Notamacropus eugenii: one gene and its partner. The protein of the gene in region 1 purifies or fractionates together with the protein of each later gene. This does not show direct contact. Links are inferred from orthologs where the notes say so. Each region holds a gene or a part of one and is shown on either strand. Other genes may lie near its edges.

Region 1 (15,235 bases):
ATACTATCCAATCCCTCCATTTTATAGAAGAGGAAACTTCTGAAAGAGATGACCAAAGAGATTAGGTGACTTGCCCAGAATGATGTAGATAGTAAGTGACCAAGCCTGGGTCCACATTGAGCAGAATAAACTAAAGAAACAAGCAACCCCTCCACCCCACACCAAGACTGGGTTGTGGCAAAAGAACAGTTACAGAGTAATGGAATTCCAGGACTGGGCTAGAAATCTCCATGAGATTAGCAAAACATACATCAGAGAGGACCAGGAAGTTGATCTAATCTTCCCTTCTAAATTGATGATCTTATAATTCCCAGATTTTCAATGTTTTTTTGAGCCTATCAGGATTAAGTGATTTGTCTTTTTAACTGTGTCATCTTGTACTACCTTCTCCAGGCATCGTTGTGGGTCAGGCTTCCTGTGCCCACTAGGTTTTGGGCATGCACATCAATCATTCAGTTAAAATAGAAATTGGCTCACATGGTCTCCGAGGTTCCCTTCTTCCTCTAAAATTCTATGATCTCAAATAAAGTGATCAAATGAAGCATCTATATATCTATATCTACATAATATATATGTATGTATATATATGTATATGGAGAAGAGAGAGAGAAAGAGAAAGAGAGAGAGAAACAGAGGAAAGAGAGAGAAAAAGAGAGAGAAAGAGAAGGAGGGGGGGGGAGAGAGAGAGAGAGAGAGAGAGAGAGAGAGAGAGAGAGAGAGAGAGAGAGAGAGAGAGAGAGAGAGGAGCCATTACTACTTTTAGTCATGTTCTAATTGATCAGACTTAGGTTTCAAGAGGAATTATATCCCTTTTTCCCCTCTTTGTAGTCAACACTTTAGAATGTACCATTGGAGGACCCAATGGATAATGTTTTTGACTCATTGATGCATCTGATCAGGGAATGACTAAATCTCTTGGCATAACTATTTGGCTCATCTTGGGTATTTGTTACATTTAGCATTGCTACATTTATAACATCTTCATTAAAAACTAAAGGTTCATTATGCATAAACGAGTTTGAGAAAGTTTTATGCTTCTGGTTACAAAAATTTTTAAAAATGGCTGGATGTAGAGCCAGCAATCAAATCCTGGAGATCTTCAATGCTTTATATTTAATTTATGAGCAATATTTTGTATAGGCATCTAGGAGGTGTAGTGGATAGAACTCTGGATCTGGAGTCAGGAAGACCTGAGTCCAAATGCTACCTCAAATACTAGTGAGGCCCTGGGCAAGTCTCTTAACTACTCAGGCACAGTTTCTTCTTCTGTAAAATGGGGATGATAATAATAGCACCCATCTCACAGGATCATTGGGAAGATTCATGAGATCACAAGTATATCACATTAAAAACCTCTAAGTTATTATTACTATTTGCTATACAATGATGACATAGTCACACCTATTTTAATTAGGCTATAATGTAATGAATAGCAATTAAAATGGAAATGATTTTATGTGTGCTAACATTAATACTACCAACCCCTTCAGGATGCTTTTTAAACATAATTATTTGTCTAATAGCCTTGGATTTTTTTTTTTTTTGAGGCTCTGAATGTGTGCTATCATCAATGGAGGAAATTTCAGAAATAGAAATTCTCGCTGATATAGATTGGTAACTGTTTGTCACTTAGAATTTTAGAGAATTGCCTGAGGCACTGAGATGTAAAATGACTTTACCAAGGTCATACAGCTATGATGTGTGAAAACAGAGCTAGAACTCAGGTCTTCCTCACTCCTCTATCCACTACCCCACACTGTTTCTTCTGCTCTATGGACTTTATCCCTAACATGTGGCTCTAAAATCTATCATTTATAGGGACTTTTTAGGTCTGCAAACTTTTTTACACACACAATCTCATTTGAATCTCAAAAGCCCCAGTGGGGTAGAATCTATGAACATCTCTATTTAATAGGTGAAGAAACTGAGATCCAGAAAAGTTAAGTTAGTTTCCTAAGGTTATACAGTTAATATTTTGCATATGCTTACATGTGTGCATATTGCTTTTCCCAATATAATATAAGATCCTGTTCATTTTGGTCTCTACATCTCTAGCACCTAGTATACTATAAGACATACGCTTAATAATAATATTAATTTAATACAAGGTAGACATTTAACAAATGTATATGGATTCATTGATTGAAGCAGTCATTCACTCAGCTTCATATTCTTCTTACTACTTCTTATTTCTACTGTGTAAATGAATCTAAATTTTATAAACACACAGAGAAAACAAAAACATATTCAAACATTAATAAGTATTTGGGGAAAAAAATCTCTAGAGAAGTGGGGGAGGGCTTGAACTTATTTGAACCTATTGTATTAAGGGAAGAACCTTAGTGGAAAGACAGAGTAAGATCTTAATTGAAGAAATGGGGGAATAGAGCAGAATTGTAGCTAGAAGAAAATGAGCACTAGACCATGTGAATCAGACCAGACACAGATCATAGAAGCGCAGAAGTGACTCCAGGGGCCACTGAGTCCAAGGTGCTCTTTTTATAGATGAGAAAACCATGGCCCAGAGAAGTAAAATGACTTGCCCAAGGTGACAAAAAACAAGGAGCAGAGTTGAGATTTGAAACCATGATTTCTGTCTCCAAATCCAGTGTTTCTTCTACTAAATCATGATGCATTATTGGAGAGCATTTCTGGGATGTATCTGACCCAGGTGAGGATAAAGAAAAATAATACATGCATAGTGTTTTTTATACCTCAAAGTGCTATGTAATAATTAATTATTTTAAATATTATTTCATTATTTAAAACAATAAAATAAGTGATACATAATGCCATTAATAATTAATTATATTATTACTATCATAGTATCAAATATTAATTGATGTTAATATTCTTTAATCATAGTAATTGCTACAATTAATTTAGTTTCTTTATTAATATGAAGAAGTAATGGAATGCTGTTAAATATCATTGAATTAACATTAATTTGACTAATATTTATAATCAAGTAATTAATATTACTTGATGAATATTAATAATGAATACATTATATTGACATACTTGAATAATTATTAATATTATTGAATAATAATAAAATGTAACCCTTCCTGCCTCTACTCACAATGCCACTCCCCTGAAATCCGACAAAAGACAAGGTTTTTAAATTGAGTGCAATGTTTGGAGTCAGGAAGACCAGTGTGAATCCTATCTGTGACACTTACTAGCGTGATAACCATGGGCAAGTCATTTAACTCACAGAGACTTCATTTCTTTATGTGGAAAACAAGCATAAAAATGTCCTTGATACTATATCTACTTCAATGGGATGCTGTGACATTCAAATGAAATTATGCAGGTAAAGTACCTAGAAAACATTAAATAAATACATAGTTTATTTATAATATACATTACATAAAAATAAAATTAATTAAATAAATAAACAAATGCCAGCATCGTCCATCATCATCATCATCATCATCATCACCCTTAACGTTATTATCGTTATTTTGCTGTACACACTGTGTGTTGGGGTAGTGTGTGCTTGGATAGGACAAAGGAAGGAATATGAATTGTTAATTTCCCACTATGTTCCAAACACTTTTACAAATCTTATCTCATCTGATCCTCCCAACAACCCTGGGAGGCAGGTGCTGTTATTATCACTGTTTTGTTGTTGTGTATAATTGAGTCGTGTCTGACTCTTTGTGGCACCATTTGGGATTTTCTCGGCTGAGATACTGGAATGGTTTGCCATTTCTTTCTCCAGCTCATTTTACAGATGAGGAAACTGAGACAAACAGAGCCTAAGTGACTTTCCCAGGGGTGGACAGCTAGTAAGTGTCTGAGGCTGAATTTGAACTCGTGTTTTTGACTTCAGTCTCAGAGCTCTATCCACTGCACCACCTAGCTGCCATGATAGAACATGCATATAGAGTAATTGCTGCTCTGGAGAATGGGTTAGAGATGGGGCAGGTATGGTTATGCTGCACAGTGGTTAAAGACCATAACACAGAAACACCTAGGTCGTCTGTCTCTGACATAGACTGATTTTGTGTACTTAACCTCAGCATGCCACATCTCTAAGTATAAATTGTAAAGAATGAGTGAATAAATAGATGAATGAAATTTTTAAAAAGCCATTTATTAAGCTCTTACTGAAAAGCAACATGGCATAATGGATATGGCACTAGACTTGGAGTCAGAAAACACTAGATTTGAATTCTGCCTCGGACAATTAATATGTGGCCTGGGCAAATCTCTTTGTTTCAGTTTCCTCTTCTATTACAATGATGGGATTGGATTTGGTGGCCTCTGAGATCCCTTCCAACTCTAAATATATGATCCTAATGTGTCCCAATCCCTGCCAGTCTGCGTCAGAAAGGGAAGGTCCTCAATGGAAATTCCCTATATAAATGGAATCACATCTCCAGTCAAAAAGTCATAAGAAAACAGAATCCTGAACTAAATCTAATCCCTTTAGACTGTGGGTTTTGCTGCTGTTCACTTGCATCTGGATTTTTGTGACCCCATTTAGGGTGTTCATGGCAAAGATACTGGAATGGTTTGCCATTTCCTTCTCCAGTTCAGGAAACTGAAGCAGTTAACCATGACTTGCCCAGGGTCACACAGTTAGTAAGTGTCTGAAGCCAAATTGAATTTAGGAAGAGAAGTCTTTGTGACTCCAGGCCCAGGGCTCTATCCATTGCACCACCTTGATGCCCCATAGCCATGGGTTACCCAGGGGCCAAAATCAAAGGGGGTTATAAAATATGAGATGTTTCTTCCATTATCTAGCACTACAAGATAATGGCTAAGTTCATAGGTTTTAGAGATCATCCAAGCCTTTCCTTTTATGGATGAGGAAACTGCAACCTGGATGAGGAAACTGAAGGGAACAGGCCTTGCCTTGAGACATAAATAGGAAGGACCTAGTAAAGCCCTTGCTTCCCTAACCCTGCCATTCTTGCCTCTTCAGGCTCTCTCTCCGCCTTTTCTCCACATTTTGAGAAATGTGGAAGGATAGCCTAGCTAACCCTCCCTGGCAAAGTTAAATCAGCTTTGGAATGCTGATGCTTTCCATTCCATGGATTACCAGGTTGGCCTCTCAGCCAGCTAACACAAGGCAGGGGCCCCTCTGGTCCATTCTGCCCAGGGAAGCAGAAGCTAAGTTACCTCTGGGAACAACTCTCTGATTGGTATTGCTAATTACTGCTAGTAATGAAGATGGATGGTTGCAGGTATCGGAGCCAACTGTTTAACCGACAGCACTTTGGTCACGTTGAGTAACTTTATATCCTGCTGCCTTTACTAAAGCCCTGTAATCTCCCCAGACAGCTGTAAGATTCCAGTTATTAGTACACACAACACTTATCAAGTCATCTGTGACTAATAAAAACTTGAGAAAGAGGGGAAGAAAGAATGGGCAGTTGGTTGTTCAGCAATGTTTTCTCCAACTTGCCAAACTTTTCTTAGGCAATGCTTAGTCCCCATAGAGCACCCCACATGTCTAATTGTAAAAATCTGTCAGCATTGCAGGATTCCAGAGAGCTCACTGATTTCCACTGAGGGTAGAGATGGGAGGATGAGTCTTCCATTGTAAGGAAAAGAGGGACTCCAGGGGCAAAGTGAAGATAAGGGGTGGGGGGGAGGGAGTAGACTGAGTAAATGTAGGAGTCTGCTCTGAAGGGTTGGAAGTTCCCACTTCCCCTCCCTTTGGGCATGATTTCTATCCCTTCCAAGCCCCAGAGTCTTTGTGTGCAGAACTCCCTGCTTGTGCTAGGCTGTTGTTGGGTAAGTCTTGGCCAAGGCTACCAGCCGGGGTTTGCTTTCAAGTGGTCGTCATTTCTTCATGTGCATGTGGCCAGGGTTACTGTCTTTACTCTTAACGGGATGTGCTATTGTAATTAGGATGGTTTTGGACTGTATTCAAAACAAAATCCCAGAGAGCTAGTTCCCAGCAGGGCCTGGTCCAGTTACTCAGGGCTCTCGGGACACCTTTTCCCAAACCCTTTTCCTAAGGGAATCGATGAAGATAACCAAGGTTGTTGTGGTGTCTGGCCTTTAAGTGTCCCTCCTTCAATTTAATTCAACACATATTTATCGAATTGATAAATGCCAAGCAGTGGAAATAGTGATGTATTTGGAGGCAGAGGAAATGGAGTGAGACTCATGTCTGCCACTTCCTATGAAACTTTGGGTCTCCTTCCTGGAGCTCAGTTTTCCTACCTTTAAAAATAAGAGGGCGGGTTTATTTCAGCTCTAACTGTGAGCTCTAACTGTGATAGCAGATCAAATGCTGGAGATAATGCGCTAACCTCAGGGTCAGGATGATGTGGGTCCAGAACTTACCTCTGTGGCACTTACTAGATACCTGGGCATGTGTCATCACGGTTGAGTCTCCTTTCCTCACATTTTAAATGGAGACAATCCCTCCAAAATTTAGTTTATAGCAGGAGTTTTTAACCTTACAAACTTTGAAATAAGTGAACTTCAAAATATTTTGGTAACTGCATTTCGATGTAATGGGTTTCCTTCGTAATTCCGTGTTTTGTTTCATATATATTTTATTGCAAATATCGGTCTGAGGTGTCCATAGGCTTCATTTCACAGCCAAAGGTGGCCGTGACACAAAAGTTACGTGTCCCGATCTAGACCCTTGCTTATGCCACGCTAACTCCAGGTAGCTCGCCCACTTTCCAGGGCGGGGGCAGGAGGGGAAGCTTCGAGGGCAGCAGAGGAGCCTCTGGTGGCAGAGGACCGTATTCGGCAGGAGGGCCGCCGTGCCCGGACAGCCTGCGCCCCCGAGCGCCCTGCTGCGCTCCCCAGGGCTCGGGCAGCCTGGCCCGGATCAGCCCAGCACGGGAAGCCAAAAGAGCACAGGCACCGCCTCGCCTCGCCCCACCCCTGCCCGCCGAGCTCCTCGCCAGCTCGCCCGCCAGTTCCGGTCTTCCCAGCCCCTGTGCACCCCGGCTCCTCCTCCTCCTTCTCCATCCCCTCCTGCCCTGGGCTCCGGGGGCACTTGGTGCCCGACTGTTCCCAGAAGCTGGCAGCCCCAGGTACTGGCTGATGTGCCTGCCGCGCACTGACAGGTAAGGACTGCGGGGACCCATCGGGGCTGGAGGCTGCGCAGGACTGACGGACTGGACGGACCCGCTGCCGGGCAGCGGGGGGCGGGGAGTCGCCTTAGCTTTCCTCCTCCCCTTTTCCCTCCTAAACTCCCCCTACCCCGGACAGCTGGCCTCTCCCCGCCCCCCCTTGGCTGGGACAACTAAGAGAGGACTGCCCCCTAGGCTGCCCCCCACTCGCTACACGATTCCTCCAACTTTGCTCTGAAGTTGGCATCTCCCCCGGCGCAGCGCAGCTAGGGCCAACTTGGGGCAAGTCTGAACACTGGGCTGGGCGGGTTGACCTAGGCGGGGCGAGTCAGGGGCTGCCAGGAGAGGCAGAGCACATTCCCACCCTCCTTTCTCTCCTTCCTGCCTCCCTCCCTCCCTCCCTCCCTCCCTCCCTCCCTCCCTCCCTCCCTTCCTTTCCCCCTCCTTTCCTGCTTCTTTCCTTCCCTCACTCCTTTCCCTCTTTCCTTCCTCCATGGACTCGGTCAAGATAAGAGACCAGATGCCAGAGCTCGGGGCCTCCCCTTCGGAGTTTCCTCGGAAGCCGGCAGACTGCCTGACTGAGTTTAGTGAGGGATGGAAGGCCGAGCATCCCAGATAAACCAGGAAGTGCCGGCAGAATCTGCAGATGGGGTGTGTGTGTGTGTGTGTGTGTGTGTGTGTGTGTGTGTGTGTGTGTGTGTGTGTGTGTGTGTGTGTGTGTGTGTGTGTGTGTGTGTGTGTGTGTGTGTGTGTGTGTGTGTGTGTGTGTGTGTGACTGTGTGTGGTGTGAGTGTGAGTGTGAGTGTATGTGCAAGTGTGTATGGTGTGTGTGTGAGTGTGTGTGTGCGTGTTAGCAGCAGAACAGAAGAGACAGAGGCTGGAGGGCTGATTCTGGAGTAGGAGACCCTGTGCTGGCCCAGGAGAAAGAATTACATTGTCAGAGGAGGGATTATTATTATTATTATAGATAATGAGAAGCCATAGTGTAGCTATTCTCAGTCTCACCTCTGGCCAGCTGCTCAACCCTGAGCAAGTCATTCAGTTTCTCAGGGCTCTAGAGAACTCTCTAATAAACTTATAAGTAGCCAACAAACTCTCAGTCTCAGTTTTTTCATCTGTGAAATGGGAATAATGATAGCACCTACTTCACAATGTTGTGATACTCAAGTGCCATGATAGGAAAAGAGCTATATAAATGCTATTATTCAATATTGTTATTATTAGATCAGCACATACCAATGAAATCTCAGGTCCAGACCCCCTTCCCCCCCCCCCAGAAACCCCTTAGCTAAAATTTGTATACTATTTTAGGGTTTCCAAAGAGTTTTATATACATTCTGCTAAATGAGATGTGACTTGATTTTGGATGTCCTGCCAAAATGAAAGACTTATTAATTAGCCCAGGATCCTTGCACTATATACCTAGGAGCTTAGATTAGAGTTGAGAGGGACCTCAGAAGCTATTTGATTCTACCCTCTCATTTTATGTTTCAGTAGACTATAACTCTCAGGGAACTTGAGTGACCTTCCTAAGGTCACAGAGGTAGTAAGCATTGGAAGTGGGGCTTAAACCCAGGTTCTACATTCCAAATCCTTTGTTCTTTCCCTGACACCAACCTAGGACACAAAACCTTGAAATCCAAATCAGTCAGTCAGTAAAAGAGGATTTGTCCAGGACCTGCTTTGTGTCTGGTATTGTGTTAGGGATAAAAAGACAAAGGAAATGAGAGCGTGTACATTTTTGGAGGCAGCAACATGTGCACGTATATTGAGTAAATACCAGGAGAATCGGGAAGAGGGGATCGAAGCAAACTCAGGGATCAGGAAAAGAGTTCATCAAAGACTTAGTGCTTGAGCTGAGCTTTGAAGGAAAGGGTCTAATGGGAAAGCAAGTACACAGCCAACCATGATACAAGGGAGAAACTGGTTCAGTCCATAAGTCAACAAACAAAGAGGTCAAAGAAGATTAGGAAGGGAAACAGTTCATTGGGCTCTGTAGGAAGGAGCTCTTTAGTGACTTTGGAAGAGAGAGTGACCTTGAGTAATTTGGGAGGGGCAGAGGCCAGATAGCCCAGGCTTGAGGGGGTGTGGCAGGGGATTTCTGGAGTCAACTCATATAGCTTTAGGAGAGCTGATTGTTAAATTTACATCTGAAAATCCACAAACTGTCAATCAGGGCTTGATTTGTTCTTTTACTTTCTTAGACTTAAGAAATGAATGGAAGAAATATCAATAATGGAAATTAAACTGAAAAGTGTCTTTTGGGTACAATTTTTCTTTTGGAGAGCCAGTTGTTAAACATGTCAGTCCACTGCTGGATAAAGTACTCCTGCAGAAATTGAAGCAGAAGGGATCCATGACTCTCTCTGGAAGTTTCACTGTGCAGGAAAGGATCGAGGACAAAAACTTGAAGGGAGTCACATTCAAGGGGGCAGCCCAGTGAATGGAATGCCAGGCCTGGTGTCACGAAGACTCATCTTCCCAAGTTCAAATCTGGCCTCAGCCACTTGCGATCTATGTAACCTGGGGCAAGTCATTTAACATTATTTGACTCAGTTTCTCTATTGTAAAATGAGCTGGAGAAGGAAATGACCAACCACTCTAGTACCTTTGCCAAGGAAACTCTAAATAGGGTCACAGAGAGTCCAGCACAACTAATGGCATTAACTGGTTAATTCACAGAATGATAAGATCATAGGTTTAGAGCTGGAAAGTATCTTGCAGATGTCAACCAGATGGAAATAGCCTCCAATCTATGGGTAACTGGAGCCAGACAGAGCAGACTAGAGACAGGAGACTCAGGAATCAAACAGAAATTTAATTTCAAAGTGAGGGAAATGGCTTGCAGGGGCTTGCAGGGAAGGACGCATGTGCAGGAGATCTCAATACTTAGACCTATACTACATAGTGAGCTGTAGCCCTGAGAATGAGGGCTATAGTCACAATGTGATGAGTCTGGTTCATAGCAGAACTTCCTAACCAGAATATGGATACAGCAGGTGTTTATCTGAGCTCAGAGATATTACAATGCAATAATTATATGAAACAGTTCTGGGATTTTTCTGTGGCTGAGATCATCTAGAGGATGAGAGCTCAGGGCACAGCCTGTTTGCTGGGAAACAGCGTCTCTTAATATCTTAACATAGATTATCTAGCCTAACTCCCTTCATTTTACAGATGAAAAAAGGCTAAGTAAGTAACTTACTCAAGGTCATGCTAGTAATAAATAAGGAAGTCAGAATTTTAAAATAGATCTTTGACTTCAAATCCAGAACTCTTTTCATTAAATTATACTGTCTCCCCTGGGACAGGCACTACATGAAGGCACATTTTCAATAATATATGTGCCTTGATTTCCCTGGTCTAGGTCTTCCCTCCTTTGCTGGAAATGACTGTGATTCTTCTACAACTTACTGTTGGCAAACTGTAAGGGCTCCCAGGATTAGCCAAGTGATACACTGTATATCTGTCACATGAGGTCCAAGCTGGCTAAATTGGGAGAAGCCATGATAAACCTTTTTTTTTTTTTTTTTTGTGGCAATCAGGGTTAACAGATTTGCCCAGGGTTACACAGCTAGTAAGTGTCTGGGAGAGACCAGATTTGAACTCAGGTCCTCCTGACTTCAGGGTTGGTGCTCTATCCACTGCACCACTTAGCTTCCCCCACAACTCTTGAAGATCATCAGGGAAGGTTTAGTGGATTTTTAAGCCAACTCAGCTCAGTGGAGCCAGAGGACACATTAGGAAATCACACATCTTTGGCTGAGAGAGCTAGGGGACAATAAATATCACTATCCACCACATTGCCACCCCCCAGTTTTAAAAGTGAAAGAGAAGGTGACTTGCTCTTGATTATATGGATACTAAATACCTGAGTACAGTTTTCTTACCATCTCACAGAATACATAACTGGCAGGTGGGAAGGGCAGAAGATGCTTGTTTCCTCAGAATCTCCTCTCTCTAGGCAAGGCCACAGGGGGAAGGACAGTAAGATTAGGAGATGCCTGAGGCCACTTCCCTAGAAAATCTAATTCCTGTTCTCCTTCACTCCAGGGGCTACCTCACTCATTTAGGTATGGTGTCAAGTCCAAGTGTACTCCTTTTCTGTTTTGGGTAAACTATGAAAATACAAAACAATAAAATCTTTTATACAGTTCAAGCCCCTAACTGAGAAGCATCAGTTAAACAATCTAACCCTACTTCTCATTCTCTCTCTCTGTCTCTGTCTCTGTCTCTCTCTCTCTCTGTCTCCCTCCCTCCCTCCCTTTCTCTGTCTCTGTCTCTCCCTCCCTCTCTTTCTGTTTCTCTTACGTGTCTCTCTGTGTCTGTGTCTATCTATTTCTGTCTATCTCTCTTTCTGTTTCTCTGTCTCTCTGTCTCTCTCTGTCTCTCTGTCTCTCTGTCTCTCTCTCTCTCTCTCTCTCTTTCTCTCTCTGTCTCTCTCTCTCTCTCTCTCACACACACACACACACACACACACACACACACACACACACACACACACACTGCAGTTTAAAATCTACACCTCTCCCCAGTGTACTTTACTATCTCTGGTCTGTCTTGTGAACGTATTTACCTAAGATCACACATGAACCAATAATGGAATGGAGGAGCATGTTATCTTAGAGAAAAACATTTATTTTAAAACAAATGATGAAACAAAAAACAAAGAAGCAGGAGTTGCAGATACGGGTTCAGGACTCTCCTGAAACAGCTCCAGAGTGAGCCTGAAGGAAAAAGGACAGGAAAGTGAGGAGCCCTGGGCTCCATTCTGAGCAGCACCCAGGGTTCCAACCTCTGTGTATCTGTCCCAGTGACTTTTGCCTGGTCAGCTGTAGTTTTGCCTTGGGCTCTTGGCATTCTCTCCTTTCCAGGTCACTTGATGCTGCTTTGGCAGTGGTGGCCTGGCCTCTGCTTCCTTATGGCCCGTTTCCCATTCTTTCTCTCACCAATATCTTTCTGGGGACTTTTCCTCCTTTCTTCCTTCTCCTCTGGAATGAGAGGGAATTGTTTCTACAGGACTTCGGGTAGGTAGATATTGGGGATTCCTGTCCAAAGCAGACATAATGTCGATTCCAACCAATGTCAGGTTACACCCAAAAGCTGTGAGAGTAATTATATCTTATAGGAAAATACTCCTTTGCCTTGGCCTTAAAGCTCTAGATAAATGCTGCTCTAATCTCCAGCATCACCTGAATCACTCCTCCCTTGATAAGCTTCTGCTAGGATTGACTTTGAAGCAGTTTTGGAAAGTCAGGATCTTTGCTGACTGAGGAGGAGCCTTTGACCGTTAGGTGATGCTTTACATTGATCGTCTCATTGGATCCTCACAAAAGACTTGGCAGGTCAGTGCTACTGTTATCCCAGCTTCAGAGTTGAGGAAACTGGGGCACCCAGACCTTAAGTGACTTGCCTGGATCCCAAGCAGGTAAATACCTAAAGGAATTGTCTTGTTCACATTTTCCTCATTGCACATTCCTTGTTCCACCCTTTATAGTCCAGAAGTTCTTAGCCTTTGCGGGGAGGGCGAGGGGGGCTGTGAACTTGTTTGTTTTTTTAAAATATATTTGGATACTTGTATTTCAATAGAATTTGTTTCCTTGGTAATGCTATGTATTTTATTTTCTGCATTTAAAGCATTTTTCTAAGCAAGAGTCTGTACGCTTTACTGGATTGACAAGAGGGACTTTGACACAAAAAGTTGAAGAATTCCTGCACTGTTCTATGATTATTTTTATTCTTAGAGACTTAGGTTTCCCTGCTAATCCACATGGAAGCTTTGACCTGTTCCTTTTCTGACCTAGGCTATTTCACCCGTCTTTAGACACCCTGGCAGCCCTCTGCTTCCAGAGGCTCTTTATATTAGTGTCAGTCAGTGAATGAATAAGCATTTATTATCTACCAAGTGCCAGGCACTGTGCTAAGGGCTGGGCATATAAATACAAAAGAGAAACTCTGCGCCCTGAGGGAGCTTACAGTCTAAGGGAGGGGGGAGGCAAAACACAAAAGGAAGCTGAAAAAGGAGAGCAGAGAAGGTACCTGATCACCAGGGCATGATGAAGACGGACAACCGTTTGGCTTTAGTCGTACTGCAGATTGTAACTCCTGAGTTCAGGTAATTGCCCAGCCTCACCCTCCCAAAGAGCAGGGGCTATGGGTATGAGCCATTATGCCTGGGCAATTTATTTTTAAATAACAGGAACCCTGCAAGTCTGGCCTTCATTTCAACCCAAGAAGCATTTATGAAGCACCTACTATGCACTGCAGACTGTCATAGGCAATGGGGATAGAAAGGAAAAGACTTTGGGAATTTGGTAACAATTCTATGTATACATTAATGTTTACGCTCAATTCTGTATGTCATTCAAAAGAATGTTGGATTTTGAGCTTGGAGGAATTTTAGAAGTCACATAGTCCAGATAAGGAAGCTGAAACCCAGAGAAATTAAGAGTCTTATTCAACAGAGGCAAGATATGAACTCAAGTATTTAAAGCACCTGAGATTGCAAGAGAAATGAAAATTGTCCCTGTCCACAAGAAACTTAGATTCCATTGTGGTAGAGAGGCTTGCAACATTTACGAGGATAAATAATTATAACCTAATTTGAGGAGGGAGGGAAGGTTTCTTCTAGGAGATGCCCCCTGTATTGAGTGTTGAGAGAAGGGTATGCATTCCTGGAATGGGAGCCAACCTAGGTAAAGACATGAGATAAGGAGATGGAATGCTAAGGTTAGGAAAGCAGCCAGGGCACTTGGGTCACAAGGTAGAGTGGTTAAAGAGAAGATGTGTGAAGTCATTCTGGACATGCGGACTGGAGCCTTTGTCAGAAAGGTCCATTACATCCTGCATGCTCTTCTTCTCTGCATTTTACAGATGGGGAAACTGAGGTTGAGAGGTTAGTGACTTGCTCAGGGACACACAGCTTGAGAATGCTTGAAGAACAAATTGAATTTAGATCTTTCTGAATCAAATCGCAGTGCCCTCTTTAGTCTCACTTGTTGCCTATCTTATCCTAGCAGAGAACTTAGAGAGGGTGCCTGAAAAATTGGTATGAGAGCATGCACTGAAATTCGTTCATGTGCACACAAATGGTTACTTAGCAGTTTGATTGTACTCATGTTCTAACTTCTGTCTCCTCCCTCTGATTCCTAATAGTTATGTGGCCCTGGGCAAGATGCTTAACCGTTCCCTGCCTCAGTTTCCTCATCTGTTAAATGAAGTGTGCACACATACTTGGGTAGATATTTTCTCTTCTTTTAAAAGCAGTGTGCATATATACTTGGATATGTAGATGTGAGAGGCAGCTAGGTGGTTCAGTGGACAGAGTGCTGAACCTGGAGTCAGGAAAACCTGAGTTCAAATCTAGCTTCAGACACTTACTAGCTATGTGACGTTGGGCAAGTCACTTAACCTCTGCTTGTCTTAATCCACTAGAGAAGAAAATGGCAAACCACTCCAGTATCTTTGCCAAGAAAACACTATACAAGGTCATGAAGAATCAGACACAACTGAACAACACCAAATGTAGACTTGGGTATTATAGCTACCCACGGGAGAAACATGGTCAGTGAAGAGATGGTAAAGGATTAAAATGAAATAAAAAGAAAGGAAAGAAACAAGGAAGAAGAGAAGAGACACAGAAACATACAGCTAAGGGAGGGAGATTGCCCTTCCCCTGGGTTGTCCAACAGAACGACAGGTTTTTTTGCTGCAAAAGTGTGAAACAAAATGCTTATCTTCATTCTCTCCCTTCTTTCCTGGAACTCAGACACCTGCCTCATTTAAGTCTTTGTACCATGAAAGCAAATTTTGCCCCACCTATTTTATCAACTTTTCTAAAAACCTATCCAATCATCATTCTGATGACTCTTCTGGGTGTGTTGGCTGACTCGCTTCCCCTCTGGCCCTCTGTGCTAAGATGGCACATTGAGCCGGCTGTTCCAGACAGATGTGGAGCGATGGGAGCTGGAAATTAAGTGAACTGTAACTATTGTATTTTTGTGATAGCATTTTCTTTGTGGTGCTGGAAGGTTAACAGACTGGTGAACAGACCCTTTGTCTTTCAGCTTTCTTAAAATGTTTTACTAGAAATCATGAAAAGCAACCCACTTAGTAACTATTTACAAGCCAAATCATTAATTTTGAAGCCTAAGTCAAGTTAGTAAGTTTAATTAAGTCCT
Region 2 (15,726 bases), on another chromosome or scaffold:
CATACCAGGCACTGAATGTTGGTGATACAAAAATAAGAAAACAAGACAGTTCCTACTCTCAAGGAGCTTGCCTTCTAACGTGAGAAGACAGATGATAAAAGTACTAGAAAGGGCCAGGAGGGTAGACATAAGCACAAGGCAGCTGATGCAGAGGCTGAACAGACTGGAGAGTAAGTCATAGTGAAGTGAATAGCATGGCTGGGGCCCCCATGATATCAAGGTCTCATACAGGGACTAACCAATTAAAAGTGAAAGATATCCCAAAGCGCTATGGACTGTTTGAGGAGGTGATGGGCTCCCCCTTACTGGAGTCTTCATGCAAAGGCTGAATGACCCATTGTGCAGACTTGTAGGAGAGAGGTATGTGTTTCAGGTAGATGTCAGGCCAAAGGGCCTCAAAGGTCCTTATAATCTCTGAGATTCTAAGAATCTGGGTATGAATTCCTGGCTCAGTTATTTACAAGCTAATATGTGGCCTGAAGCAAATTCTTTCCCTCCTGTGGGCCTGTTTTGTTACCTTTTAAATGAAAGGATCTTACTAGACAATCTCCATTCCATCTTTAAATCTTTAATGTTCATTCCATCTTCAAATCTTATGATTCCATGAATGTTTCTCAAGATATTTTGCTTGTATCTTGTCCCATAGAGCAGGGGCTGTTAGCTTTTGGAGGCTCTGTCCAGAGCCTTTCTCACTGGAGGGAGTAGGGTAGTTAGTGAGGAGGCACTCATGAAAATGAGCAAGAGATTTCTGAGCAGTTCTCTTATCAAAACACTTGCTCCTCCCAAAAGGGGCAGCGCCGAACTCTGTCCAATAATCAGAGGGCAATTGTGGGCCCCTTGATGGGGGGGAAGTAACGTATTGTAGTAACAGTTGCCACAAACTTTTCCACAACCCACAGAGAGGAAAGGATGTGTGGGAGGAGTTCAGAGAAACCTGGGGACCCTAAACTACTAAGGGGGATGAAGAGGAAGTCCCCAGCTGCAGCTGGTGGTAACATCCCTTCACAAAATCATCTTGGGCTCCCTCATACTCTCTTGAAAACCCACCTGGTAGTGCCGCAGTCCTAACCTCCACCTAAAAAATCAGACAGGCTAGCTCCCCAAGGAAGCCTTCCTACACTGATCAAAGATGAAAAAGTGAAGGTGATAGCTTTCCTTAACCCCACCCTTGCTGTGCAGATGAAACCTGCCTATTTTGCAGATGAAAAAACTACTACTATTCAGGTACTAAACAATTAAGAACTCTGGGAGCCAAGAGTTGAACCCCCATCTCTCCTGACTCCAAGTCTAGCACACTCTTTACTGTCTTCACCGTACCATGCTCTCAGTTGGTGTCTAGGGTTCTATGAGCTGGGATGTTAACTGGTACTCACAATGTATATGGACACAGTAAAGAAGGGGAGGGAAGGGCACTCCAGATGAGGAGGACTTCCTGTGTGAGCAAGGTAATAGAGATGAGGGCATCTAATGAGGTAAACTTCAAACTTCTTGGTATTCAAGACTCACGACGATGATGAAGATGATGATGATGATGATGATAAATAGCTCACATTTACGTAGGACTTTAACACTTACAAAGAAAGTGCTTTCTATTTGATACCTCATGTGATCCTCACAACACCCCAACAAGACAGGTGCTATTATTATCCCCATTTTACAGGTGACAAAACTGAGTCTGAGAGAGGTTAAGAGGCTTGAAACATTAAGTAATCACAGGTCTGGTTCCACCAGACTTTTCCAGTCTTCTCACGCAACTTCCCTCCAGTGTCCTAATCAACCCCTGGAAGAGGTAGAAGCATAGAAATTCTCACCGCATTTTTCCACTGGACTAGAAGCAATGGACGTATTTTATATATTATAGCTTCCAATAGTATCAATTTACGCACCACTTCAGGGGATTTATTTTTCACACTAATCCATCACTCTTTGTGTTTTCCAATGTGGTAAGACTACCCCCCTGTATATAGCCTGCATCCCCCCTCCTGACTATTCCCAAAGCTTAGGAATATCCTTCTATTTATACTCCCCCTACCCCACTGAAAATCCTATCTATCCTTTAAGATCTAATTCAAAGGTCATTTCCTCCAGGAATCTTTCCTGAATCCCCCGCAGTGGATCGTATTCTGGGCACACGACCCTACTCACCCACTTCACATTTCATTTACAACTCTCTGAAGAACTTATATATTATTTGTAGTATTGTTATCTCCTTATTAGACCGTTAGCTCAAGGAGACGAGAAGGCAGAGACTGTGTCTTATCTAACTTTAGATCTCCTCCAGCAGGAGTTATCAGATATTAAACACTTATTATACCAGATGCTCAGGGAAACGCTAAGTCTAAAGGATAGGCTCCGGACTCTGTGGTTTACCCTCTATCTACTATACCACAATCTTCTTCTAATGCCTCCTATGAGCCCAGAAAAGAAAACAAAGACTCTGTGATTATAAAGGGGAATGTGAGCTGAGCCTGGAAGAATGAATAGGATTTGGGCAGGAGGTGATTCTAGGAAGAAAGACTAACATGAAGTCTGGACAAAGGTCCAGAGGTAAGTGGTGGGAAGGAGGAGATGGGAAAAAGAGGAGAAGAATCTTGTAAAGTTGTGATGGGATCGATGAGTTGGGCTGGGCATGAAGTAAGGTAAGTAATCCTTGGAAAAGAAGAAAAAAAAGACCTGCCAAGTCCTGACTCTGATGTTATTCAGGAAATAACTTCATGTCTCTGGGTTTTTATTTCTTTATCTTTAAAATGGAGTTAATAGGGCCAAACCAGTGCCCAACATTGGGGAACTATCCCGAAGCAAGAGACAGCACCAGACAGCACTCAGCACCCAATCAGCAGCAGAAGAAAAGGTCAGACCAGCTTTAAGCAGTGGGCACCTGACCTAGCATCCAGGCAGACAGTTTCCACCACAGGAGACAAAGTCATACAGTTCCTACAGAAGGTAATATCTAGTCTTAGCCATCAAACTCAGGATCCTGCAGGACTTCCTATATACCATTCAGGAATGTGGGAGGAGAGTTTGACCCATGTGCTAACTCCTAGTCCAGAAACCAAGACTGGAGGTATGAGAAAAGAGAAGGAAAAAACAAACATAATGCAGAAATACTTTGGGCTGAAAGAAACTCAGGAGATAAACACCCAGAAGAAAGTCGCTCCACAAGTGCAAGTGGATTCTCAGAGATAAGAATGTTGTAGCTGTAAGAGCTACAAGAGTTATTTTGTAGTGGTTTGCCATTTCCTTCTCCATATATTTTATACAGAAAGAAACTGAGGCAAACAGGGTTAAGTGACTTGCCCAGGTCATACAACTAGTGTCTGAGGTCAAATCTGAACACTTCAAGCAATCATAAAAGAAAGCATTCAAGTGTCAAGGAGCCATAATGAAGTTAACTGAAGATTTGGCAGCTGCCATCGTCAAGGAGGGGAGATCTTGGAATAGGATACTCCAAAAGGCTTACAGTCAAGAATAACCTACCCAGAAAAACTAAGTATATTCTACAGGGCAAAAAATGACCTTTTATAAAATTTTCCTGAGTGGATCCTTTGAAATGGAAATGAAAAATAGAAGAGTACATCTGAAAGGGACCATGTGAAGATTGCTTAAGAGAGAGAAGAAATAAGTATGCTTTCAGAACTTTAATATCTTCAAGGGTAATAAAGAAAGAGTTAGTCTTTGTTCTATCTTGATGGTCTGAGGAGCAGAAGGAAATAGGAAGGGTACGGTACTGTATTGGGAAGGAAAAGAGGAAGAGGAGGGAATTCACTATCTCACATAATAGCGGTGCATGAGATGAAGAGCATATGAGCAGGGAGGATGGAGAGAGAATGGGAGGAAAAGTATCCCATAAGCCTCACTTTTAAGTCAAGTGGATAAAGGAAGCTTGAAACACATTCCCACATATAATCACATTCACATTCATACACACACACACACACACACAATATGGTAAGGAGATATATACGTATAGTCATCTGTAGATGTATATGTATACTCAATAGGGTCAGGTGAGCATACATCAGGAAGAGTATACGAGACAGGAGTATATGAGAGAGGGAAGGCTAGGTGATGGAGAAGTCATTGGCATCAAGATCAAATATAAACAAATACCACCATTAGAGGGGAAGGGAAGGAGAGTGAAAGAGAGAGTAAAAGAAAAGAATGAAAACTCTGGGAGGGGGGGAGATAGGAGTCATGGGGAAGAGGAGAGGGTCAAATAAAAAAAGAAATAAATAGAATAAAAAGAATAGATAATAATAAAATAGAATAAATGGAATAAAATAAAAAGAATTATAATAAAAAGAATAAAAATTAAATAATACAAAGAATAAAAGAAGAAGAAAAATGAAAATGGGACAAATACTTAGAGGGTGTCAAGAAAGTGCTTTATAAACTTGAAACTATAAAAATGAGCACGACCTGAAGAGAAGATGGAGTTAAGGGTAAGGAATGACAGGTGGATGGTCAGGGTGCTTCCCAGATACCCTGAAGATATTTGGAGAAATCGAGGAAGGCTTCCAGCACATTGAGTGTCATTTATAGGCCCAGACAAGAGCCACACAGGATTGGCAGTTATGGATGGGCTTCAGTCTGAAATAGAAGGAAATCCTAAATGAATGACATGAGATTTAGCATGCTCTGCCCCTACAGGAGGCCTTCACTGCCTTACATCTCATACAACCCTTCACAGGCTATGGCTACCACCCGCCCAGCCAAAGGTCACCTCTTTTCTTTTAGGCCTTCTGGGCTTTTGAGGAAGTAAATGAATGAGGGTGGTGACTTCTTCCCCAAAAGGGAGCTGATCTATCCTGGTGTTAACAGTAACTCTCATTTCAATGGAGTCTTAAGGATTATAAGATCCCCTTCAGCACCCTATTTCCTCTCACTCTCTTCTAAACTCTCTGAAATCTGACTTCTTTCCATTGAAACTGCCCTTTCCAAAAGCTATCAATGATCCCCTTAACTGCCAAATCTAATGGCCTTTGCTCATTCCTCCTCCTCCTCGATTCTTGACCTTTATAAAGCATTTGACATCATTGACCACCTTTTCTTCCTGGAGGTTTTCATGACACTGATTTGTTCTAGTTCTCTTTCTATCAGTCCAAATGCTCCTCAGTCCCCTTTGCTGGCCCTTCATTCATATCATGCACTCTTAATTGTGTGCCCCCAGTGATGTACTGATAAATATTTAACAATCAGTCCTCTGGGGAGAAGGGGGAGGGGGAAGTATGTCCCCTGGCACACTGTTAAATTTAATCCACTTTAACAACATTTTATCCATCACTTTCTTAAACCCAGACAAAACAATAAATCAAGTCCTAATTTGTAGTGTTTGCTGATTTCCCAGGGGGAAAACTTAACAACAGGCTTTCCTGAGATGGTTTGAGCCAGCTCCTGCACTCCTCTGGGGATCCCCCAAGTGTCTTTCCAGAGCCTCCTCTTTTCACTCCATGCAATCTCACCTGGAGATCTCATCTGCTCCCCATGGGTTCAATTCTCATCTCTTTCATAGCTATGTCCTCTATAGGTAGTTGGGTGGGTGCAATGAATGGAGAAGTGGGCCTAGATACTTCCTGTTTCTCATAATATCCTCTGCTCCTGTCTCCTTTCCTCTATACTGACTATTCCCCCATGTGTTGCCTCAGTTTCCCACCAGGCCCAGCTGAAATCTTATCTCCTGCAGGGTGGGCTTTCCCAGCTCCCCCAGCCACTAGTGCCTTATCTGAGATTACCTTCAATCTACTCTGAATATATCTTAGACACACAAGTTATTCACATGTTGTGTCCCCCACCAGAATTTAAGCTCATTGAGGACAGGAACTGCTTTTTGCCTTTTTTTGTAACCTTGAAGCTTAGCAAGGTGCCTGCCACATGGTAAATACTTTAAAATCCCTGCTGGTGACTTTTATTTCAACATCCCTGAGAGCTCAGCTCTTATCACTATGCTATCACCAGGGCTGAGACCCAAGTGTGTATAAACCAAAACCAAGAGGTCTAAGATAGAAGTGGGAATTTGGAGGCCAGACAGGAAAGTCAAGATCAGGAGGTCAGCACCAGAACAGGGCAGGACACAGTGAATGTTGCTGAAATGTCTATTTTTCTGCCTCAACTCATCCCTACAGATTTTCAGCCTTTCATTATGATGGCACAATGATGGGGGAAGGAAGCTAGCATTTCTTAATCACCTACTCTGTGCCAGGTACGTGGTACATTGGATAGAGTGTTGGGCCCGAAGTCAAATTTCAGATCTGGCCTCAAACACTCCCTAGCTGTGTGACCCTAGATAAGTCACTTCACCCTTCCTCATCTATAAAATGAACTGGAGAAGGAAATGGCAACCAACCTAAGTATCTTTACCAAGAAAACCTAAACGACGTCCTGAAGAGTCAGACATGACTGAACAGCAAGTGAACACACCACCAAAGTGTCCGGCATTGCTAAGGGCTTTACAGTTACTGTATCACTTGATTCTCACCCTTTAAGGTAGGTACTATTATCATCCCCATTTTACAGCTGAGAAAACTGAGGCAGATGCAGGTTAAGTGACATGCCCAGGATCTCACAGCTATTAAGTGACTGGGGGCAGAGCTTCCTGATTCCAGGCTATCCACTGTGACACCTAGCTACCACTTATTACCTGTGTGATCTGAGGTAAGTGACCTTTTTGGGCCTCAGCTATACCTGTAAAATGAGGGTATAGGACAGAATGACTTCTAGGTCCCTTTCCCTCTCTACAGCTATGATCCTATGATTCAATAACTCTTTAAAATGGTGACCTAAAGCACTATGTTGGGAAAGTCCAGCCTGGAACCTCCTAATTAGTCCTAGACCTATTCCCAAGTAGCTTAGTGGGAAGTATAGACAGAGGAAAGAGTTCTTCCTCATTTGCATTCCAAGTCTGTTCCTTGTTACTTCATACGACCTTGGACAAATTTTACCACTATGAGCCTTTTTCTTCATCATTAGGCTGTAAGTTCCTTGAGGATAAGACTGCTTTTTGCCTCTTTGTGGATTCCCAGACCTTAGCCTCTTACATAGTAGGCACTTAATAAATGTTTATTGATTGAAATTGAGGGGTTTGGACCTCCCTTTCAGATCTAAATCAATGAAAATATACAAAGTGTCCCACGGGGCTTTTTGTTGTTCAGTCCTGTTCAGCTCTTTGTGACTCCATTTGGGGTTTTCTTGGCAAAGACACTAGAGTGATTTGCCATTTCTTTCTCCGGCTCATTTTACAGATGAGGAAACTGAAGCCTATTCAAGTGATTTGGGCAACTAGTAAATGGTCTGAGCCTAGATTTGAACTAGGGTCTTCCTGACTCCAGGACTGATGCTCTGTTCGCTTCACCACCTAGCTGCCCCTCCAAGGGTCTTAGTGAAGTTTTTAAGCTTAAAGTAAAAATGAAACTTCACTTTTAAGTTATAGCTTAAAAAAAAAAAAAAGCTTGTATTAAGACTTTGGGGCACCCTGTGTGATCTAACTCCAGAAAGCTGGTCCTTTCACCTTTCACATTCAGTTTGTTTTAATTAATAAACACTATATTGTGGATTGACTCTTCCCCAGAGCTAAGTAAGCTCTGGTCAATGGGGAAGAAAGATTATGATAGTATTATGCTGTATATTACATAATATTATATTAATAATGATCATCACTGTATATTACATAATGTTATATTGATAACGATGGACACGGCATATGACATAATAATGTATTGATAACGATGGACACTGCATATGACATAATGTATTGATAACGATGGACATGGCATATGACATAATGTATTGATAACGATGGACGCTGAATATGACATAATGTATTGATAACGATGGACGCTGCATATGACATAATGTATTGATAACGATGGACATGGCATATGACATAATGTATTGATAACGGTGGACGCTGGGACGCTGCATATGACATAATGTATTGATAACAGTCTCTGCATATGACATAATGTATTGATAACGATGGACGCTGCATATGACATAATGTATTGATAACGATGGACATGGCATATGACATAATGTATTGATAACGATGGACGCTGCATATGACATAATGTATTGATAACGGTCTCTGCATATGACATAATGTATTGATAACGATGGACGCTGCATATGACATAATGTATTGATAACGGTCTCTGCATATGACATAATAGTATATTGATAATGATGGATGCTGCATATGACATAATATATTGATAACGATGGACACTGCATATGACATAATAATGTATTGATAACGATGGACATGGCATATGACATAATGTATTGATAACGATGGACGCTGCATATGACATAATGTATTGATAACGATGGACGCTGCATATGACATAATGTATTGATAACGATGGACATGGCATATGACATAATGTATTGATAACGATGGACGCTGCATATGACATAATGTATTGATAACGATGGACGCTGCATATGACATAATGTATTGATAACGGTCTCTGCATATGACATAATGTATTGATAACGATGGACGCTGCATATGACATAATGTATTGATAACGGTCTCTGCATATGACATAATGTATTGATAACGATGGACGCTGCATATGACATAATGTATTGATAACGATGGACGCTGCATATGACATAATGTATTGATAACGGTCTCTGCATATGACATAATGTATTGATAACGATGGTCTCTGCATATGACATAATGTATTGATAACGATGGACGCTGCATATGACATAATGTATTGATAACGGTCTCTGCATATGACATAATGTATTGATAACGATGGACGCTGCATATGACATAATGTATTGATAACGGTCTCTGCATATGACATAATGTATTGATAACGATGGACGCTGCATATGACATAATGTATTGATAACGATGGACGCTGCATATGACATAATGTATTGATAACGATGGACATGGCATATGACATAATGTATTGATAACGATGGACGCTGCATATGACATAATGTATTGATAACGATGGTCTCTGCATATGACATAATGTATTGATAACGATGGACGCTGCATATGACATAATGTATTGATAACGGTCTCTGCATATGACATAATGTATTGATAACGATGGACATGGTATATGACATAATGTATTGATAACGGTCTCTGCATATGACATAATGTATTGATAACGATGGACGCTGCACATTACACAATACCCTACTAATGCTGAGGACGATCGTAGACGGTGGCCAGCCCTTTGTCTTTCTCATTTCCCTAGTGCTTGTGCCTGGCACACACTAGGTCCTTGATAAGGGTTTCTGAGTGACTGAGCATTTCCGCGGGGCCTCGTTGGAGCTCGGCCAGCCGGGTCCGGGGGTCCGGGGGTCCGGGGTCCGGGGTCCGGGGGTCCGGGGGTCCGGGGTCCGGAGGTCCGGGGTCCGGGGTCCGGGGGTCCAGGGGTCCGGGGTCCGGAGGTCCGGGGTCCGGGGGTCCGGAGGTCCGGGGTCCGGGCTGCGCCCTCCGCCAGGCCCTGTGCCACCGCAGACCTCAGTCTCCCTAAAGGCACAAAAGCCACGTTGGGGCCCCGGCTGCGGGGTCCGGCCGGCCTCGCCCCCCGCGGTGTCGGGGCCCTTAGGAAGGAGGGGGTCGGGTGGACGCGGCTGACCCCCACCCCGAGGGCCTAGGGAAGGAGCCACGTGAGAGCCCGCGGAAGGAAGGCTTGGGGGGCATTTGGCCGCCTGGAGGGCACGGGACCCCAGCAGGTGGGCACCTTAAAGAGATGAACAGAGAGGGGGAGGGGGTGTTGGAGAGAAGCATTGTTTTCTTAAAGCCTTTCCCCAGGGAATCAATTAATAAACAAGTCCGGTTAGTTAAGGGGGGGGCAGGGTGGTAATCTAAAAGTGGTTGGGTTTTTTTGGTAGAGCTTCGATTTACGAATGATTTTACATAGCGAAAAACGAGGCCGACCCCTGCCTGCTCCGGCCCCCACAGAGGCTCCCGGGAAGTAGGGCAAAGAGCGTAGGAGACCAAGGCCGCATGCGCAGCCTGCGTTCTCCGAGTTCAGGCCGGGGCCTGCTGGAGGCAGGGCAGGGAGAAAGGGAGCGGTACGCATGCGTGCGCGTAAAAGTGGAAAGGAGTGGGGGAGCGGCCTGTGAGCGTGCGCACAAGGGGAGGACACGGAGGGCCCCCGGGAGACAGACGAGTGAGGTAGGAAGGGCCCGGCAGGGCTCGGAAGCGCTTAGCCCGCAATCTTGGGGGAGGGAAGAAGGGAGGGAGGGGTGAGGAGATAGAGGGAAGGGTGGGGCGGGAAGTCGGGGGAGTGGGCGGAGCGAAGCGGTGACGCAGCCCGCCGATTACCCAGCCCCCTCCACGGCCCTCCCTGGCACTGACGTGGCTGCCGTCGGGAGCCGCCATCTTGTGGGAGCAAAACCAACGCCTGGAGAGCCGATAAAAAGAAGCAGCGGCAGCCGCTCGCGGGTGAGGAGACGGGAAGCCCGAGGCTCAGGGGCGAGGAGGTAAGGCGAGGCCCCCCTCCGCCACCCCGGGCCCCTGCCCCGCCGCGGCCGTCCTCGGCGCCGGGGCCGGGCGGGGGAGGTGACGGGAGCGGGGCCAGAGCAGGCCAGGCCCGAGGCGGCCGGGCCCAGCCGGGGCGGTCCGCGGCGAGGAAGGCCGCGCTCCGACCGAGGGAGGCCCACGGCGGGGGGGGTTCGTGAGGGGGCGGCCCGGAGCGCGGAGCCTGGGGCCGGGGCGGCGGGGTTGGGGTGGGGCGGGGACCGCGGAGGCCAGAGAGCCGGGTCGGAGAAGCGCCTCCGGTGTGCGAGGCGGCAAGGCCGCGAGAGCCGGGTACGAGCGGGGGCGGGGCGGCGGGTCGTGGGGTGTCTGCGGAGCTTTTGTTAGTATGTTATAGGATCGGGGCGGAAGCGGGGGCCTGGAGGCCCTCGAGGCCCACCCCCGCCGGTTCCCTATGGGGAAACTGAGGCCAGCGGGGGCAGGGTTCGAACTCGGGTCTCCCTCCTCTCACACTCGGCCCCGCCGAGCTTCCTTCGGGCCCCCCTTGGCCCGGGCGGGCCATGTTTAACCGAAGGCCGGAGCCGGCCCGACCCCGAGGCGGACACGAAGCCGTTCTCCGGCCGCCCGCAGGGAGGTTACCGCCGAGAGCCCGAGGCTTTGAGTCATTTTGCGGTGGAGGAAGGAAGGGGGGAGGAGGAGGAGGCATCCCGGTTTCTGTTCCTGGTCGGGTTTGTAATAACGCCTAGCTGTAGGAAATGCCGTGTAGACGGATTCCGACCCCACGCCCCTAAGGTTCGGAGTGAGGGGGTCACGGCTGGGTGCCCCGAGGCCAGCAAGGGAGGTGACTTGCCCAAGGTCACCCGAGGCTGGGGCTCGGACCGACTTCTCCGACTGCCACACCGCCGGCCTTTGTGGAGGAGCGCGGTCGGTCTACACCGAGTGCCGATCCCGGGAGAACGGCGTGCTTGGCCGCCGACGTTGCGATCGGAGGCAGACCTTCGGGGAGCGGGTGTCCAGGCTGCTGTCGGTGGTCGTCGTGGACCTGTGCTCGGTGTCCCTGCCGTAGGGTCAGCCCTTCGGCCAGATGTAGAGAGGGGATGGAGGAACAGTTCCGTCACTGGAGTGACTCCGCTGGGCGCTTGCTGTTGCATAATCCTGGTTGTGAACCGCGTGTAGAAATGTAATTCCGATAATAACTTAATTACACAGCACTTCGTTGTAACTAATTTATTCCGACGGCACCTCGAGCCCGGTCAGAGATTTAAGAGAATTTGTGAAGACTGAGTGATGTTTTAAATAAATTTGGGAGTGATTTTCAGATGCCACTGGAAACAATTCCTAGAATATGTCATCATAGAGTTTTAGACGTAAGAGGATTGGAGTCCACTCTGCCCCTTTTATAAATGAACATTTGGTTGGGGGAGGGAGTTAGGTGACACGCCCAAGGTCATACAGCTAGTTAGTAGGGGGGCTATGGAGATGGAGCAGTTTCCTGGTTACTCTTTTAGAACAATTCCTCAGCAGTTTGTAAAATGCTAATTTTATCCTCATCTTTTCATCAGTGCTTCTAATCAAATATAAAACATAGGATTACACATCTAAGTGACCCGTCCTAGTCTTAGGTATCGTTCTTTGCCTAAACTAAAACTTAAGTATTATGAGAGGATGAATTTGTCAGTTAACTTTAGTTTTTAGTAATAGTCAGTGATTCAAACTGTTAGACCTTGAAGTACCAAGTGTTAGTTGGGGCCAAAGTTAAAAGGAGTTTAATGGTTTAAAAATTAATCACAAGCCTAGTTTGTTTATCTTCACATGTTACTGAAATGTGTTCTCTCCAGTACTTGGGTGATAGACTATGATTTTAGGGAAATATACGGACAAAGCAGTCTATCCATGTAACTCAGCTCACCAGTTACAACCCCCAAGTCTGAAGGTATCTGGCTATCTCAAAAGGATGTCACATAATTCCCCTTGCTTCTGTTCTAAAAAAAAAAAAAAAAGTTTGTTTTGGCATACTCTTAGAAATGTTATTCAGCATTTGAGGGGAGCTGATACTGTTACAACTCTAAAAGATAGGAAATAACTGAAGCAAGATTTATAGTCGGCATGCAAAAAGCAGTTGCCCTACACCCTAACAGTTCTGCATTTTTAATCATGTGATCTAGCCATTCACTTTACCTCTTACCCAACATGACAAGGGCATTCCACACACCCTAGTACCTGCTAACTCGTACTTAAGGTAGGAGTAACTTGGAACAAAGGAAAGTTACAATCTCAACTTTTTCATCTCTGTAAGTGATTAACAATAAATTTTGATTTGGAGGGAGCAGAGTACTTGCAAAAAATGGTTGGCTGTTGTGGTGAGCCTTTTTTAAAAAAAGACAAAAATCAAGCATTTACATTGTGTGCCATTTTGTGTACTGCTGTCTTAGTGTTAGAGGTGTACTTTTGTTTTTATGAGAACCAGATCTGATATTTGCGTTTGCAGGTAGATGGGGGTTTTCCTTTTTTATCCCTTCATTCTTTTGTACTGTTTGACTTTCTTATTCTTCTGTAGTTTATGTTAATGAAATTGTTGTGTGCTCATCTGCATTTTGCACACTTAGTTCCTTGAGAAGGCTTTGTTTTTATTAGTATTCTAGAGTAATTTAGAAATTGAGGTCATAAAATGTAGACATAAAATGTGAAATTAAAGAATCCTGTTATCAGAGTTGGAGTTTTAACAATCCCCAATGTACTTTTAATACAGAGGTGGAATTTCTGCAGGATACAGTGTTGAGAGGAGGACTTGGATAGGTTTCAAGAGTTTATAATTAGAATTTTTACTAAACTTTTACGCTATTGTGATATTCGTTTTAATAATTGTATGAATCTCATGGTTAATTTCAGAGCTAATGTGTAGTCACAAATCAGTTAATTCCACTTTAATCCGAATCCTGCCATCCAATTTGTATTATGTAGCACTACAGATATGAAAATAAATAGAAAAAATAAAAGGGATTAAATTAAAATTTCTTTTTATATTATTAAGGTTTTATTGAAAGGGGAAGTTTGGTTTTTGAAATTCCTTGTGTACTTCTTATGTTACAGCTGTTCCCCATTGGCATAAGTAATGGAGAATTATACATGTTTTTCTAGCTTACCTGTGTCTGAAAAATAATCTTTTGGTATTTAAAAAAAACCAGATAAGATAGTACTTTGATTATATTGAACATTAGCCTTTCTACTTGCTGAAGAAAAAGTTGTAAATGGTGGATTTTTAAAATGTCTTGTTAGAATTTATAAATATGAAATACAAAATTTTTAACTGATCCTATGTTTATACACACCTAATTGTTAAAAATGTTTTTATAAATACAGTAACATTTCACCTATCCAGAAATATACAAGTACATGTTTCTGTATGTTATTTATAGGATAGACCCTCACAAAGAATGTTTTAACTTTACAAAGGATTCTCAATGACTTTCTCTAGTATCCAGGATTTTGGCCAAAGTAGCAAATTGAGAGGGAAGAGCAGACTAGAATTTATGGCCTGACAGTGAAAGAGGAGAATGAAATACTTTCTGAAAAGTAAACACGGAAACTGGAAAAACATAGCTATTAAGTGGTGGGGCCACTCAAGAATAGGGGCAAATATTCATTATCAGTGATTGATTATGGTATGACTCTGAATCAATGGTTGTATTACATTGTCATGCTTTGTGTGAGAAAGCAAGGTAATTAGCTTACAAAGATTAACATAAGTTTGTCGTTTTATTTTCCCAACATTCCTGTGAAGTGAATGCTATTTCACTTTCCATATTAGAGCATCACAGCTCTAAAGACATCAAATACTTAGAGGGCATCTCGTCAAAAGACTTACCTTACATTACATATAGTTAAGTGGCAAAGCTGAGATGAGGGACTTGACTTGGACTATCCTGTATACCACATAGTGTTGCCAGACTTTGTCTTTCTTTCTCTTTGAGGTATCTGGCATCCTTTTGACTCCTGTTCTCCATTGACACAGCCACCACCCTAATCCAGACCCTTATCACCTCTCACTTGGACTGGTATAACTTCTTGATTGACCTCCCCCTTCCAATCTATGCTCCACACAGCTACCAGTGATATTCCTAAAGCACAGGTTTGATAATGTCATGTTCATGATACCTCCAGATATAGACTCCTTTGTTCAGTATTTAAAGCCCTAGACAACCAGTCTCTTACCTTTTCCAGCTTTATATATACACTGTGATTCAGCCAAGTTAGCCCTCACTATTACATCTGTTTCTGAGTAGCTGGTGGTTCAGTAGTTAGAGTGTTGGTACCTGGAGTTAGGAAGATCTGAGTTCAAATTGAACCTTAAGATAGTTACTAGCTGTGAGTCTAAGCAAGTATAGTTAACTGTCTCCCAGGGTTGTCGTGAGGATCAAATCAGATGATATTTGTAATTTAGCACAGGTTTACAAAAAGCATATTCATAACCCTGTGAAGTAGATTATAATTTTTCTCAAGATAGAAATTATAAAACATGTACATAGAATCTTAGGTCCAGGATTTTGAGCTGGAAGAGACCTGAGGCCATCTAGTCCACACCCTAATTTCTGGAAACTTATGACTTGTCTAAAGTTACACAGAAACAGAGGTGGTTTTGATTCCAGGGCCAGTGCTCTTCTCTCTGTACCATCCTACTCTTTGTGTTTTTAAGTCTGACTGTTAAATATTTTCCTTTGACAAATTTCTTTTGCTCTACCCATTTAAATATATAGGTTCAAATAGATAAGGCCAAAATTTTTTTTCCCGAAAATAAGACTGAGTGGTAAAAATGCAGGTATAGTTATAAATACGCCAACAGGAGAACAAAGAATGTTCTTTTAAAAATTGCTGTTAAAAGTAATAGCTTCCTACCTTTTGCAGATGAAACTGAATACAGCTTGGCATTTAACTTATTGAATCCATTAATTTATGCTTAAAATACTATGCCAATTAGTAATTTAGGCAGTGAAATTAACTGGCAGATATTAATAACTTTTGGTATTTCCAACTTCTTTTGGAAGTGATGCAATCTTTTCAAAATTATAGACATAGTTACATGAAAATTGTGTTCTTATTCTGCAGTTGATGATGGCTGAGGCCTTTGCTTAATAACTTGTTACTAATAGAATTTCTTTGATGACGTATCTTAGGTTTGTCTAAAACACTTGTGACTTAAGCCAAAAATATTAGACCTTGTCTAGATGTTTGTTACGTAAGCAAGAATATCAGTGCATTATTGAACTGAA

The links.
Region 2: the proteins of PLD1 (region 1) and ARF1 purify together in Homo sapiens (affinity purification with western blotting; 3 studies listed by BioGRID, with this or other methods). This does not show direct contact. The link is inferred for Notamacropus eugenii from reciprocal best matches to the Homo sapiens genes PLD1 and ARF1.

The regions. Positions count from the first base shown.
Region 1 is NC_092877.1:352,389,232-352,404,466, forward strand, and holds the start of PLD1 (phospholipase D1), read left to right. Parts: upstream 1-6,960; 5' UTR 6,961-7,049; intron 7,050-15,235. UniProt on the Homo sapiens protein: Function as phospholipase selective for phosphatidylcholine. Implicated as a critical step in numerous cellular pathways, including signal transduction, membrane trafficking, and the regulation of mitosis.
Region 2 is NC_092872.1:9,973,318-9,989,043, reverse strand, and holds the start of ARF1 (ADP-ribosylation factor 1), read left to right. Parts: upstream 1-9,998; 5' UTR 9,999-10,156; intron 10,157-10,310; exon of another isoform or gene 10,311-10,464; intron 10,465-11,544; exon of another isoform or gene 11,545-11,639; intron 11,640-15,726. UniProt on the Homo sapiens protein: Small GTPase involved in protein trafficking between different compartments. Modulates vesicle budding and uncoating within the Golgi complex. In its GTP-bound form, triggers the recruitment of coatomer proteins to the Golgi membrane.